3 linked regions of the Arabidopsis thaliana genome follow. The protein of the gene in region 1 interacts with the protein of each later gene in a pairwise test. Each region holds a gene or a part of one and is shown on either strand. Other genes may lie near its edges.

Region 1 (4,229 bases):
AGTAACAAACAGAAAACAACAAATTACGTGAATATAAAAACTTATCTTATTGATTTGGTTAAGTTTAACACTCTTTACCTATCACAAAATGTTTATATTCCTACTATAAGCATGTAACTTGTTATATAAGTGAGACTTTATTGTTTCGTTACAGGTTTGAGCTGGGATTAGAGAAGCCTGATCCAAAAAGAGCGTTACAAAGCGCGTTCACGATTGCAATCGCTTATGTTCTTGGCGGTTTTATACCGTTACTTCCCTACATGCTCATACCGCATGCCATGGATGCGGTAGTGGCGTCTGTGGTTATAACTCTGTTTGCGCTCTTCATATTTGGCTATGCAAAAGGGCATTTCACTGGAAGCAAGCCCCTCAGAAGTGCGTTTGAAACCGCCTTTATAGGAGCGATTGCTTCAGCTGCTGCTTTTTGTTTGGCTAAAGTTGTGCAACATTAGCAGTAACAAAACTAGTGTTGCGTTTGATGTTTTGTGTACTTTGAGACTTGTTTGTTGCATGTCTTGTGGTTATTATCAGGCTAAAACTTTTGGCAACCATAATAAAGTGAGAGATAACAATTCAAAATATTGGTTACATAATTACTTTCCTAAGCTAACATTGCAGACACACAAGTTTTCTTCTGACATTAATCCATTCCTGAAGATTTAAAAGAAACAGTTGCAGAGCCTTCTCTTCTTAAGCGTATCCATATTGGTCACTATCTTTGTCTTGAAGATCTTTCCAAGATCCAAGATTCTTCATTGACATTTGATCCATACCCTTGTCTGATTCTGTTGTTGTTAACGTCACCTCTCTGTCTGAAATTTGCTGAGGAAGATAGACCATGAACCGCCACAGAAACAGGACGGTTAGAAGCGGATGATACATCAACCGAGAAGTGTTCATTTTGAGATCTACCAAGATTGTCATTAGGAATCCAAACTCCAAAACTAGCAGAGTGATGATTGTCTATTGGTTGACCAAACAATGCAGCTAATGTCTGTGGATGTAATTGTCCTGAGGAAACCAGAGCTTGAATGTTTTCATATCTTTTGGTAGACTCAGAGTCATTACTCTGCGAAGCTTCACCGCTTAATCTCTTCAAATACAATCGGAACTTCTGCAAATGGTATTGATTCAGTCATAACCCTTATAGAGACCCTAATAAGAAGAAAGATTCAATCAATCAATCAAAGAAACCTGTAAATGACTAGCCACGTTTTCTCTGCTTAAACCAGGAACATTCATCAACTCGAGAATCCGCTTTGGTACAGCTTCTGAAACAATAAGAGAGATTCTTATAAGCACAAATTACTTTGAATTTCTTCTACAAGCAATAAGATAGTGTTTAGGATCATACTGTCAATTCCAAGTTTGTTTACGGCATTAACGAATTGTTGATGCAATTCAATAGACCAAACAACGCGTGACTTCTTCGAGTTTCCAGGATCAAGAAGAAGATCATCTTCATTATCATCTCTATCAACACTTCTCTTCTTCTTCTTCTTCTTATTCCTACATTTCATCAAACTTTCCTCTGAGCATTCACTAACCGAAACAACAACAGTCTCGAGGCTACCACTGTTCTTGTTATCCTCTAAAGCTTGAGAACTTCGAAGCTCTTTCTTCATCACACATTTCCTTCTAACAACATGTTGCCAAATGTTCTTAAGCTCTTCAGGACGAATAGGTTTGATTAGATAATCACAAGCTCCATGGTTGATTCCAGTCATGACTGTAGTTGTTCTTCCATCAACAGACATCACTAGAAACAGAGCAAATGTAAGAAACATTGATGCAAAGATTCAATCTTTAGAGACAAAACATAACAACAGAGTCTTACTAATGACAGGAAGATCCATTTCAAGAAGACCAACTTGTTGAAGAAGATTGTAACCATTCATACCAGGCATATGAACATCACTTAGCACCAAATCAAAACTGTCTTTTCTTTCTCTTAGAATGGTTAACGCAACATCAGCTTGTGAGCAAATTGTAACTACAAAGAGAAGATAAAACAAAAATGTTAAAACTTTCTTGAGAAAATCTATTAAAAGGTGGGAACTTTGATAAAGAATTAGACCTTGGTACATGAGACGGAGAAGCATTTTCTCGAGAATGAACAAGCATGAAGTATCATCGTCTACAACGAGTATTCTTAACCCACTAGGAAACTGATCGTTGATCGGCATTAAGCTTTGGTGTGAGTATTGAAAACCCTAGAGAACTGAGAAAGAGATTTTGGTTGGAGAAGAAAGAAGAAGAAATGATTGAAGACGTACAGTGTTGAGTAAGTAGCCACTGGTTTGAAGAGAGAGGCAACGAAAGCGACTGGTAATAGCTGTAGTGGCACTCTGTTGTAATTAATCCAATTGGTACTACCCTTATTTGTAAACATACACGAGTCCTTTAAAATCTTATCTATAGACAAAGTCACGGTCCTCATGCACTACAATATCAGAATGCTTATCACGCCGGCGAATTTATCCGGTGGCATAGCCGGATTATTCGTTTTCGGACAGAAAGATCAAATGACTAAAATACCCTCGCTCACAAACTCGTATAACTACCGGAAAAAACTTTTCACCGTCCCTCCAGTGGCGGAGAGAAGAAGAGCTTTGAAGATGTTCTGGTGCGGTGCTCGGAGAAGGGTGAGAGACGAGGGAGGTGGTGAAGATGAAGATGAAATGTATGGATACAACGAGGAAATGGCGATGTTGGAGATATATAGCCAGTCGTGTAGAGAAGAAGCGCTTATAGTGACGGCCATTGTCGACGATGAAGAAGTGGAAGTTGTAATCTTTAAAGGAGTGTCGTCGTGCTTGAGCGGAGAAACGGCGGTGGATCCGGCGAGGAGTGTGTTGCCGGAGAGAGCAGTCATTACAAAGATTGATAGAGTGAGAGGTCCTTTTGATCCTTCACAGATTCATTATATTCAAAGGGACATCTCTTTTCAAGCCTTCAAGGAGACCAGACTCAACTAATGTTAGTGAATGTTGTGTCTGGATCAATGAAACTAATGACAATTTCAATTTTTTCACTAATAACTCTCACCTCTGTTTCTGAACTAATTTCTTAAATCTATAACATACCCCAAAATGAGAAAAATGGACAAAGGTAAGATAGAGAGAGATACAATAAATCACACACTAAGCTCAAGTTAGTAGTTAAAACACAAACCTAACTCTTTTCTATATATGAGGAAAACAATAAACATCAGCCAAGAAATTAAAAATCAGTTTTTAACTTTGAAATCTTACTATGTTAAGAAGCACACAAACCTCCCATATTGGATTTCTATATTTGTATGCTTTTTGTCATTCCTTCAATCTATTAACCACTGAATTGAGATTCATATTTTGCTCGTGGAATCGACTTCTTTGATCACTGCGTGCTCCTCGTCATCCCCATTCGTCCTGAGCCTCTGCTAAAACAACAATGCAAAGCAAACGTTCAAGTGTTAAAGAAAACTAACCTAACCAACTTATAATCGTTACATTGGGTCATTATAATAAGAAAACATCAGGTACCTTCCAGAAAGTAACTGTGCAGTTGTTGAAGCTCCTTTTGAGTTAGTAGAGTGACGTCTCGTTCTACTATCTGATCCTTTGTTATCCACACGCATAGCTGAAACCTCTTTCTCCATTGCTGCTACTTCTCTTCGCATCTTCTTTGCTTCCACTTCCATCGCCTTTGTTAGTGTTTCAACCTTCTTGGCCAACATCTAAAAGCAAACACAAGCCCAAGTATTTTGATCAGAGAATATAAATAAATATAAGCAAACGTTTCTTGGAAAGGTGTAAAACTAATGACTAACCTCAATAGCTTCGTCTTTATCTCTAAGGCTTTGATCTTTATCATTAGCAGCTTTCCTTAAAGTTATCACCTCCTTTTGAAGCAAATCATGTAATACTCCTGGGACACTATCATTATTTGTCCCTGCTGCTTTCTCTGAATCTCCTTGTTTTGTTGAATTAGGTGACCCGCCTCCGCTTGTTCCTTCAGAAGATTGGTTCAATGGAAACTTCGATCTGGGTTCGTTTGTTAGTACTTTACTCCTATCTAAAGATCTACTGCCTCCGTCAAATGATCTGGATGTTCCTTTCGCATGCTTCAATATTGTGCTTGTACTAGCATTCAAAGATCTAAACTGAGAACTTGGTGACCTCTTGGAGAAAAATCCATTTGATGTCAGTTTCGGAATAATATCAGCTCCGCCAAGGGATTGTCTTCGA
Region 2 (3,896 bases), on another chromosome or scaffold:
AGCTATCTCTAGCTCCGACCCTGTCCCCATTAGGATTACGTCTAGTTTTGTCACCTGTGGAGTTGTCTGAGATTACATATCCCCCCTTCACCACTACCTCGACCGAAGTTCCAGGTAGATGAGGCAGCTTTTGTCTGGACAAAGCCAGGATCGAAGGCCTCTTTCTGTTCTCTACAGCAACTTTGGAGGCACGCGCAGTCAAAGATATCGGAAGGAGACCCATATCACTATGGGCCCAAAAGCCCATATTGGAAATGTCCGTTTAATCACGAGTTATTTGTTAGCTTTATATGACACCGTTGGAGGAAAAAGGAAATGGAAGTAAAAAATCACAAGAACAATGGTATTTGTATGGTTTGAGATTTATCTATATGTATAAACTTAAGACTGGATATGCATGGGTTGCATGTTTTTTATTTACGTACTATTTAGGAATATTATGATAAATGTAGAGGTTTAATTTCAAAGATCATTATTATAAACATCTTTTTTTTTTTTTTTTTTGAATATCAGGAGGTTCTGGGCCGAAGCCCGTAATTCCTTTAGGCCCGAAACCACATCATGTAATATTAGTTTCGTTCCAAGTGTCACTCGAACTTGCGATCTCTCAGCTTCGCCTAGGGTCTTTTTGGATATGCTTAATTCAAAATAACTACCACATCTCTTGATTGTTCATCTTCCTTTCAATTTAACTTGGCGAAATATAGTGGACGTGTGGTGTTTGAAACGGATACACTCCTCGATTGACCTTATCAAGATGGTAACCAAAATCACGATGATCACTTCTGGCCGGCGTTCCATTGAGACAGAGAGTTATCTCAGTTTGCTTCTTTTTAATTTTTAGTTTAATTTTCTTTCTAAATTTCTCTAAAATATGTTTGTAATAATCAGAATGCTTGTCCGTCGAAATCTCGACCCTTTTCTTCTTAAATTTTTCATTATTCTCCAATATGGGAACCCTCTTGAGGATGGTTTCTTCTTTGGTGGATGATTTTTAATGTAGGTGCGTAATAATGGTTGTTTTCTTTTTTGCTAATCCATATATAACCTACACTCATCAGATTCAGATAATTGATACAAATTATAGTCAAATTAAAAAAGTATTTGATATATATTCTCCATATATATATATATATATCGAAAATTAATTTGCAGGCCAAAGCTTTCATACAGAATGATCAAACCCTAATTAACAATCAATATCTTCTTTTTTTTGTTTACAATCAATATCTTCTTTTTATTCACCAATTATTTATGCATATGATATCAAGATAAAGAAACTTGGTACACAATTGTACATCATATATCTTAGAATAATAATATTAAAACACCCATACAATCTTGGATCGAATCTTTATGCATCTATATATAATATATCAACATGAAAAAGGTTGAGAGGATGACACCAAATGTCTAGCTAGCGAGCTTCTGTGTAGTTCATCAGGGTTGGGAGTTGTGGTAATAACAAAGGTAAGAGGGGTTAGCCATAGGAGCTCCAATCTGAGAGTGAGGCTGAAGAATCCTCACCTGCCGTTTCAAGAACTTGGTGTAACGTATGGCTTCGTCGAGCATGGAAGCTGTGTCCATCTTCGCACCACCAGGCACGATCCTCTTGAGAATTCGGATCTTCTCGCTGATCCTTTCCCGACGCCGACGAGCAACCACCGTCTGAGGATCGTCGCTTATCCTTACGTTACGGCGGTTCGGCTTAGGGACCGTGGCAGGGTCGATGTCTACGGGCTGCATGACGGCGATCATGTACTGCATCTCCTTCATCGCATCCATGTCTTCATCGTACTCTTCGTCTTCGTCCAAGTGAATTAGGGTTTCGGGAGGTGGATCTAACATGAGATGGTGAGGATCATTGAGAAAAGCTGCGTGTTCTTGTGTGAGAAGATCATTAGCTTTGTTCCAATCCATGAGGAGATGGTGAGGCTGAGGCTCCATCATGCTTCTTTTGGGGCTGTGGTTGGATCTGCTTTTGGACGAGACACAAGAGTCGCACACTCCTTTCTTTTTATACATACCATTTTCCATTTTCATCTTTTCTTATTTCTCAATATATATATTCTTTTTCCAGAAATATACACATATGTATTTACTGATATATATCTTTGACTCGATTAATTAACCGAATGCTTACATGCATGTCTCTTATTATTTACTTCATATGCCTCATTTTTTTTTTATAGGATATATGTCTCATTTTATGATATATTTTACCTTTTCCTTTCTGTTTCAATTAATTAGATGTTTTGTAAATTTATATGTAAATTTTAAGTGTATTTAATATTTTGTGATTATTTATATTCTTTAATAGTATTGTTTTATGAATGGTTGCATGGTTTTAAATTAATTGATATTTGGTAGTGAAAAAAAACTAACTTCTTAATATGTGCGTTTTAATCAAAAAAAAAACCTTACAAAATAACCATTATTTTTTATGACTCAACTTATTTCCTATGTAAAATGTCCTTGAATTTAAAAAATGGAACTTTTGAAAAGGCTTTTGAACCCAACCAGAACATTAGTATTTATATAGGTTATGTATACAAAATTTTCCAAGATTCAAACCTGCTTATATGTTGTCGTGTCCCGTCGTCTGTATTTTTCGGGACTAAATTATAATTTTGCAAATAGTTAAATCTTCAAGTATTTCCAGAAGTATAGTTACCCAAGCTAATATACTGATTCCCCAATATACATCAACATTACAGTTCTTATTTATGTAAAAAATTACTAAATTTAACCCACATTATACGATCAAAGAAATTGATTAGATTCATAATATCAGATTTTTTACACAAACATTAGTAGAACTACCACCAGTATTTTTTCATTTTTTTTATCAACTAGACATATATTAAAAGATAACTATATGATTGACTGTCTAATTGGGAGGAGATGAGTTTACAAAAGTAACTTTAGAAAACAAGAAAAGAGAGAAACGACCTAAACAATCCGTCTTAAAATTCCATAAATAAAAAACATAAGAAATCAAGAAAAAGAAAAATAAAGAAGAGAACATTCCAAACTAGTTTAGTAGGTTGGAGAAAGCTGACCACCAAAAAAAATTTAATCTGACAAAACTATTTTTTTGAATATATATTAGTTATTGTGAAAATAAAAACGTGATGACATCATAGTGACATGGGCCTGCATGAACAATTTAATCAGATATGTTTTTTTTTACCGCAATCAGATATGTTATTACATACATATCAATATTACTTCATTTTATCTTAAATTATATAGCTCATGTTTAATTCTGGAATTGTTTTCATAACTAAATTTTTTTCGATAAAGTTGTCATTTTAAAATATTTCCTAGAGTTCTAATTAAGTTTAGTGTTGTGTGAATGGAAGAATTCGACACATAACTTGCCAAAAATCCGTGCATGTGATTAATTTGGCAAAGGAAATTAAAGAAAATATCATTAGATCATGATTAAAGCTAAGTTTTGCAGCAAAATTATATATATTGCCGTTTAAAGACTCAATATATTTCTACCTTTTTCGCTAACAAATTTCATGGACTCATTTGTGCTAGTTTATATAAACCTTGTTATAACCATTTAAATTCGTATACGTACGTACGGAGCAATACAAGAAACACATATAAAGCAAAATCCTATAGACCACAAAAGATAGAAGAAATAGTGTGTGGTCAAAATCATGGTTACTCAAAAAGCAAGATCAAGAACAAGGGATTAAATTTCTAGGGTTTTTCCTAAGGACGAAGAAGGAGAGAGACTTTACGAAATTAGGGCAAAAAAGGAGCGTTGCACTTTGGTTTGGATATCATTGCCATAAGGAAGCATAAGTCGCTCTTGTAATAGTTACTCAACACATGTCTCCATTTTTAGTGCTCATTATTTTGACCTAATTTTCTTCTCT
Region 3 (4,644 bases), on another chromosome or scaffold:
AGGCCGTACGGGAACAAGTAGAGTAGAAATGTCTGGATAAGCAATGGAATCAGATTCTCCAAGACGGAAGCATCTTGAGGAACGTAGTAGTAATCCCAATTAGTGAGTTGTCGAACGAGGTATTGAGAAGCGAGTGAGACAGTGGTTTGGAGTGAAAGCTCGAAGAAGATCAAGAAACAAAAGAGGGGGAGAGAGCAAAGGAAGAGGAAGAGAACAAGATTGATGTTACCACATAGAAGCTTTGTTGCTCGTTTGAGTATGTTGATGAAACCTAGATCCTCCTCAATCTTCATCTTCTTTCACAGTTCTCTTCTTCTCTACAAAGAAAAAGGGAGAGTACAGATCTACTACAGTTTTTTATTCGTAAATATGGAGTCGTTTCTTCATTGACGTTGACGTAAGAATTGGTATACCAACAAATCTGAACCAAATTGCCTCAAAACCAAATTTAGAAAAGTATTAAAATGAAAACATGTGGCGGCCGAAGAAGAACAGATTAAAAGTCGAGATTAATTGGGAAAAGAAAAGCATAAGTGGGAAACCAAATCATGAACACAAAAGACTAAGCTAACACGTTTTTCACAAGCAATATAAAAAAGAAGCATCCACAAATGGGTTTAATTTAATGTAAGTGTGTGATCCACCAACAGATGTGTAACAAAGTTGACCGAAAAACAAAAGTGAGTAGAGAAACCAAGTGGTGATATAGCAGCCGAGAGCTAGGAAGAGGACGGGGTGAAGAAACAGATTCGTCTTTCTCAATAGAAGCTTGGTTGCAGACTTGGGGTAGGAGTGGTGAGTAAAGAGCAGGGCAATCTAAAAGTCACACAATGTAACAAGCAAATTCTAGCTGATGTTGGTCGAGTTGAGGATGCAGATTCATGATAAAACTAAGTTGTGGGGAGAGTAAGATGCAGCTGTGCTGCCAAGAGATCCCCGATAAATCATACCTCACAAGGGAAAAAGAGTGGAAACAGTTGAGCTTTTTAGATATGTCTATATAATAAGGAAAGTGCATTCAACAAGAGACAAAACATTTATGGATACGAAAGAACGACCTCAAGTGTAGGGGTTCAAGGACGCTGTGTGAAGACAGCAGGCCAGTGCGTGTTATAGAGAATAAGTCAAGACGGCTGTTGGAAAACAGCATGAAGGAGAACTCACCAAATCCAATTGTCTAATAAAACTCGAACATACCATGACATGTCCATGCTCAACAACCAAACCTAGAAGAGCTAATACCATAATAGCAGATATAAAGATCTATCCTAAAAGGCGCCACAGAGTAGATATAGCATCATAGCTTAGTAATAGCTTCTTTCTCTTCAGGGTCCAGTTTCACACCCTGCAGAAACGCAAACGAATATATACCTTATATCAAAATACTTCAAATGTTATTCACATCTACATAGACAATGCTGAAGTTGAGTCATGCAGATTGAGAAAGTAAACCTAAATCCAAGAAGAGAAAAGAACTTTTACCCATTGGCATATGGCGAACGTCGACCATAGGGCGAGTCTCTGCGGCGAGGAGAATCACGGCGTGAACCACGATAAGGAGGGGATCTGCTGTAGCTCCTCCCACGGCGAGGTGGAGTAACACTGCGACGCCTTGGAGGAGATCTTCTTCCACGCGGGCTTATACTCCTGAACAAAATCAATTCCACAGGAACAAAAATGTATGTCACAAAGCGATTATAACATCAAGAAAGGTACTATCAACATTAACAACTCAGCCCCTATACATGATTACAAAGTGCAATTTCAATGGATATGTTAACACAATGGACATACTAATGACATACTATCTCATCTAAGCAGCTCAATAAGAATGTTTCCGTTGGATCGTTACCTGCGAGCATACCCATAATCTGGACTCCTACGACGACGGGGACTAGGGCTTCTACGCCTCACAGAGCCTCGACCACGGCGACACTCGCGAGCAAAATGTCCAAGCTCACCACACTCATAGCACTTGGAATCCTCAATACCTCCACGACGACCACCACCACCTCCACGACCTCCTTTATCTTTATGAGAAAGCTCCACACGCCACCCATTCTTTCCTGAAGTATACGCCACAAGAGTAAAACTTTTCAATGACCAAACAATAATACAAACATTACATGGTAACTAAGAGGTCTAATGAGAAGAACACTAACGATCCAATGCGCTGATTGCATCCAAAGCATCTCTTTCGTCATCGAACTCGAGGAATGCGTAGCCAGGAGGTCTACGAGCTACCCAGACACTGCGATTTTTAAGATTCAGAGTCATAATTCGTATGGCTTGAAACAAAATTGAGTACAGAGATAGGACTTACTTGCGAAGAACACCGAAGGCCTTGAATTCGTCTTCGAGTTCTCTTTCGGTGACGCGTGGGTCCAAATTCCCGACATAAACCCTCGTCATGTTGCAAAGATCAGTTGAATCTGAACGAAAGAGAATCGAATTTTGTGAAGAAATATGGATATCGATAATAGTTACAGCGAGTAGTTAACAAGGTACCTGAGATTCTTGGTCCTGAGCAGCGAAGCGGGATGTTTTAGGGTTCAGACTCAGACTACGGCGAGGAAAGAGAGTAACCAAGTTATTTCATTATTATATGAAAACTGAAAAGTAAAAAAAAATTAACATCATATATTATTTGGTCATTTATTAGTTATTTCATGGTCCCTTATTTTTCGGTAATCCATATATTCATAAACAAAGTTTTAGCGACCAAAATGTAAGACTAGTCTCCCATAGTCGATTAGTTAACGTAAAAAGAGAATTGAGGTGAAAGCGGATTTTGAAACTATGCAAAACATCTTTGACAACAAAAGTTATGCAAACATGTTTCTAGAGTTTGATGTCTAATTACTGTAACTTGACGTGATTCTCAGTCTGAAAAAAACTAATGGGCCTAAAACCCATAACCTTTTGGTTAAAATTTTAAAAATATGAGCAAGTTTCAGTTGCTTAATGGCCCATATGAGTTGGTTTTGGTTTTCAACTTTTGCATCAGTACTTGTATCTTCTTAAATTTTCAAAATATAGTAGGCTGATTAAATCTAAGTTTGGAGTTGGCAAGTGTAACAATTGTTAGTTTTACATATACCTTACCAATTTACACATGATTGGGCACCTAATTCATGTGAACAAGTCTCTAAACGATTGCACACACACAAAAAAAAAAGAGTCTCATTGTTTAAAATTGCGTCGACGTAAATAGAAAAGGTTTCATCATCCCACCAAAAACAAAAAGACACTTATCCATTGGGGAAAACATTCTGAACCAAGATAAGTCATGCTGGGTCCCACTTACATCGACTCCTCTAAGACTGTGTCTTTGACACGTGTTTAGTTATGATTCGTTTATTTGCAGCCACTGTGTAGACCCCACTTACCTCCTTTTACAAAATCGACATTCAATTTACACGTGTCGCTATTCCCTGGCTTGTCCCTTAAGCTGGACATGGGAGGAATAAGATACTCTTTAATTTTTGGATGGCTATGGCTAAATAGATGGCTCAGAAGAAATAAGATGGCCATAACTTCATTCGTTATCCAAAGCTAACATTAATTGGTTAGTATCAAAATTTCTAAAATTGTGAAATATTTATAGAATATTAGTATTTAAAATTATATCTAATTGTATAAAAATTTTGGGGAGTGATTATTAGTGTCATGTTACTTATTGTAACTATCGTTGTGCATATCAATAAAAATATACGGATTTCAATTTTAAACCTCACATTTACAGATATTTAGTTAGATATTTAAAAGGGATATCTGCAAAATGGACAATATAGATATTCGATTTTTTTTATCGTAGTTAACAAATGCATGATATCATGTATCATATTTACACATACTATTCTTTTTTTTTTAAGTCTAGTAAAACGGATAACGGGTTGAAGAAGGATAAAAACATTTGTATCCAGCCAAGCCCTAAATTGGTATTGTCAAGTGGAAGAGCAAGAAAAGTAAAGAAGAAGAAAGTGTCAATCTGATTCGGATCCAATTACCCAATCCTCGTTGGCTTCCTAAACAACGTGAAAACAAAACACGGCTTATATATGTCAACGTTATTTACATTGACACTTGGAACCATTAACACCAAATGGGGATAATATCGTAAAATAACACATGGTTAGTACTTTAGTGACAATCCTAATGCTGCTTTGTCCCTTGGGGGGTTTGAGAGGCCACCCTGACCTACGTGGTGCCCTTTTAATATCAATACATTCCCGATAATGTGTGCTTACATGTTTTAATTATCTTAGTTTAGTCATATAATAATGACTTCGCTTTTAACTATATTATATTTACTATATGTAATATGTACATGCATGTTGCATTCCCAATGATGTTTGTTCCATTTTTATGTCTTTATCTAAGACTTTTAGTAAGACAAGATAACTCTAATGATCTTTCTTTTTTGTTAAAGTAAGAATATATATCGATTCAATTCATCTTATCAATATGGATATAGTCTTAGATCGTGTGTAGAAGTTTTGTTTTTTGACCAATACATTAAATTGTTTTAGTCTTTTTTTTTTTTTTTTTGCCAACGGATTATGATAATTATTTCTTAAAACGTTACCTGCACTTTGTAGAGATGTGACTAGTCGGTATTTTTTTTGTTAACATGAAACGACT

What was found. Proteins that work in one complex are often made in the same cells at the same time.
Region 2: the proteins of RR14 (region 1) and IND interact in binary tests that used the Arabidopsis thaliana proteins (3 or more experiments, as listed by UniProt).
Region 3: the proteins of RR14 (region 1) and RSZ21 interact in binary tests that used the Arabidopsis thaliana proteins (3 or more experiments, as listed by UniProt).

Annotation. Positions count from the first base shown.
Region 1 is NC_003071.7:330,998-335,226, reverse strand, and holds RR14 (response regulator 14), read right to left. Parts: upstream 2,326-4,229; 5' UTR 2,187-2,325; coding exon 1,838-2,186; intron 1,760-1,837; coding exon 1,355-1,759; intron 1,272-1,354; coding exon 1,195-1,271; intron 1,115-1,194; coding exon 713-1,114; 3' UTR 531-712; downstream 1-530. Other genes in the region: VIT1 (vacuolar iron transporter 1), read left to right, coding at 155-452; AT2G01755 (uncharacterized protein), read left to right, coding at 2,439-2,978; MAP70-3 (microtubule-associated proteins 70-3), read right to left, coding at 3,379-3,421, 3,525-3,718, 3,812-4,229. UniProt on the Arabidopsis thaliana protein: Transcriptional activator that binds specifically to the DNA sequence 5'-[AG]GATT-3'. Functions as a response regulator involved in His-to-Asp phosphorelay signal transduction system.
Region 2 is NC_003075.7:41,161-45,056, forward strand, and holds IND (basic helix-loop-helix (bHLH) DNA-binding superfamily protein), read right to left. Parts: upstream 2,038-3,896; coding exon 1,441-2,037; 3' UTR 505-1,440; downstream 1-504. UniProt on the Arabidopsis thaliana protein: Transcription regulator required for seed dispersal. Involved in the differentiation of all three cell types required for fruit dehiscence. Acts as the key regulator in a network including SHP and ALC that controls specification of the valve margin.
Region 3 is NC_003070.9:8,426,753-8,431,396, forward strand, and holds RSZ21 (RS-containing zinc finger protein 21), read right to left. Parts: upstream 2,734-4,644; 5' UTR 2,509-2,733; intron 2,490-2,508; exon of another isoform or gene 2,433-2,489; 5' UTR 2,413-2,432; coding exon 2,324-2,412; intron 2,252-2,323; coding exon 2,163-2,251; intron 2,067-2,162; coding exon 1,853-2,066; intron 1,648-1,852; coding exon 1,483-1,647; intron 1,346-1,482; coding exon 1,339-1,345; 3' UTR 505-1,338; downstream 1-504. Other genes in the region: AT1G23850 (uncharacterized protein), read right to left, coding at 1-293. UniProt on the Arabidopsis thaliana protein: Probably involved in intron recognition and spliceosome assembly.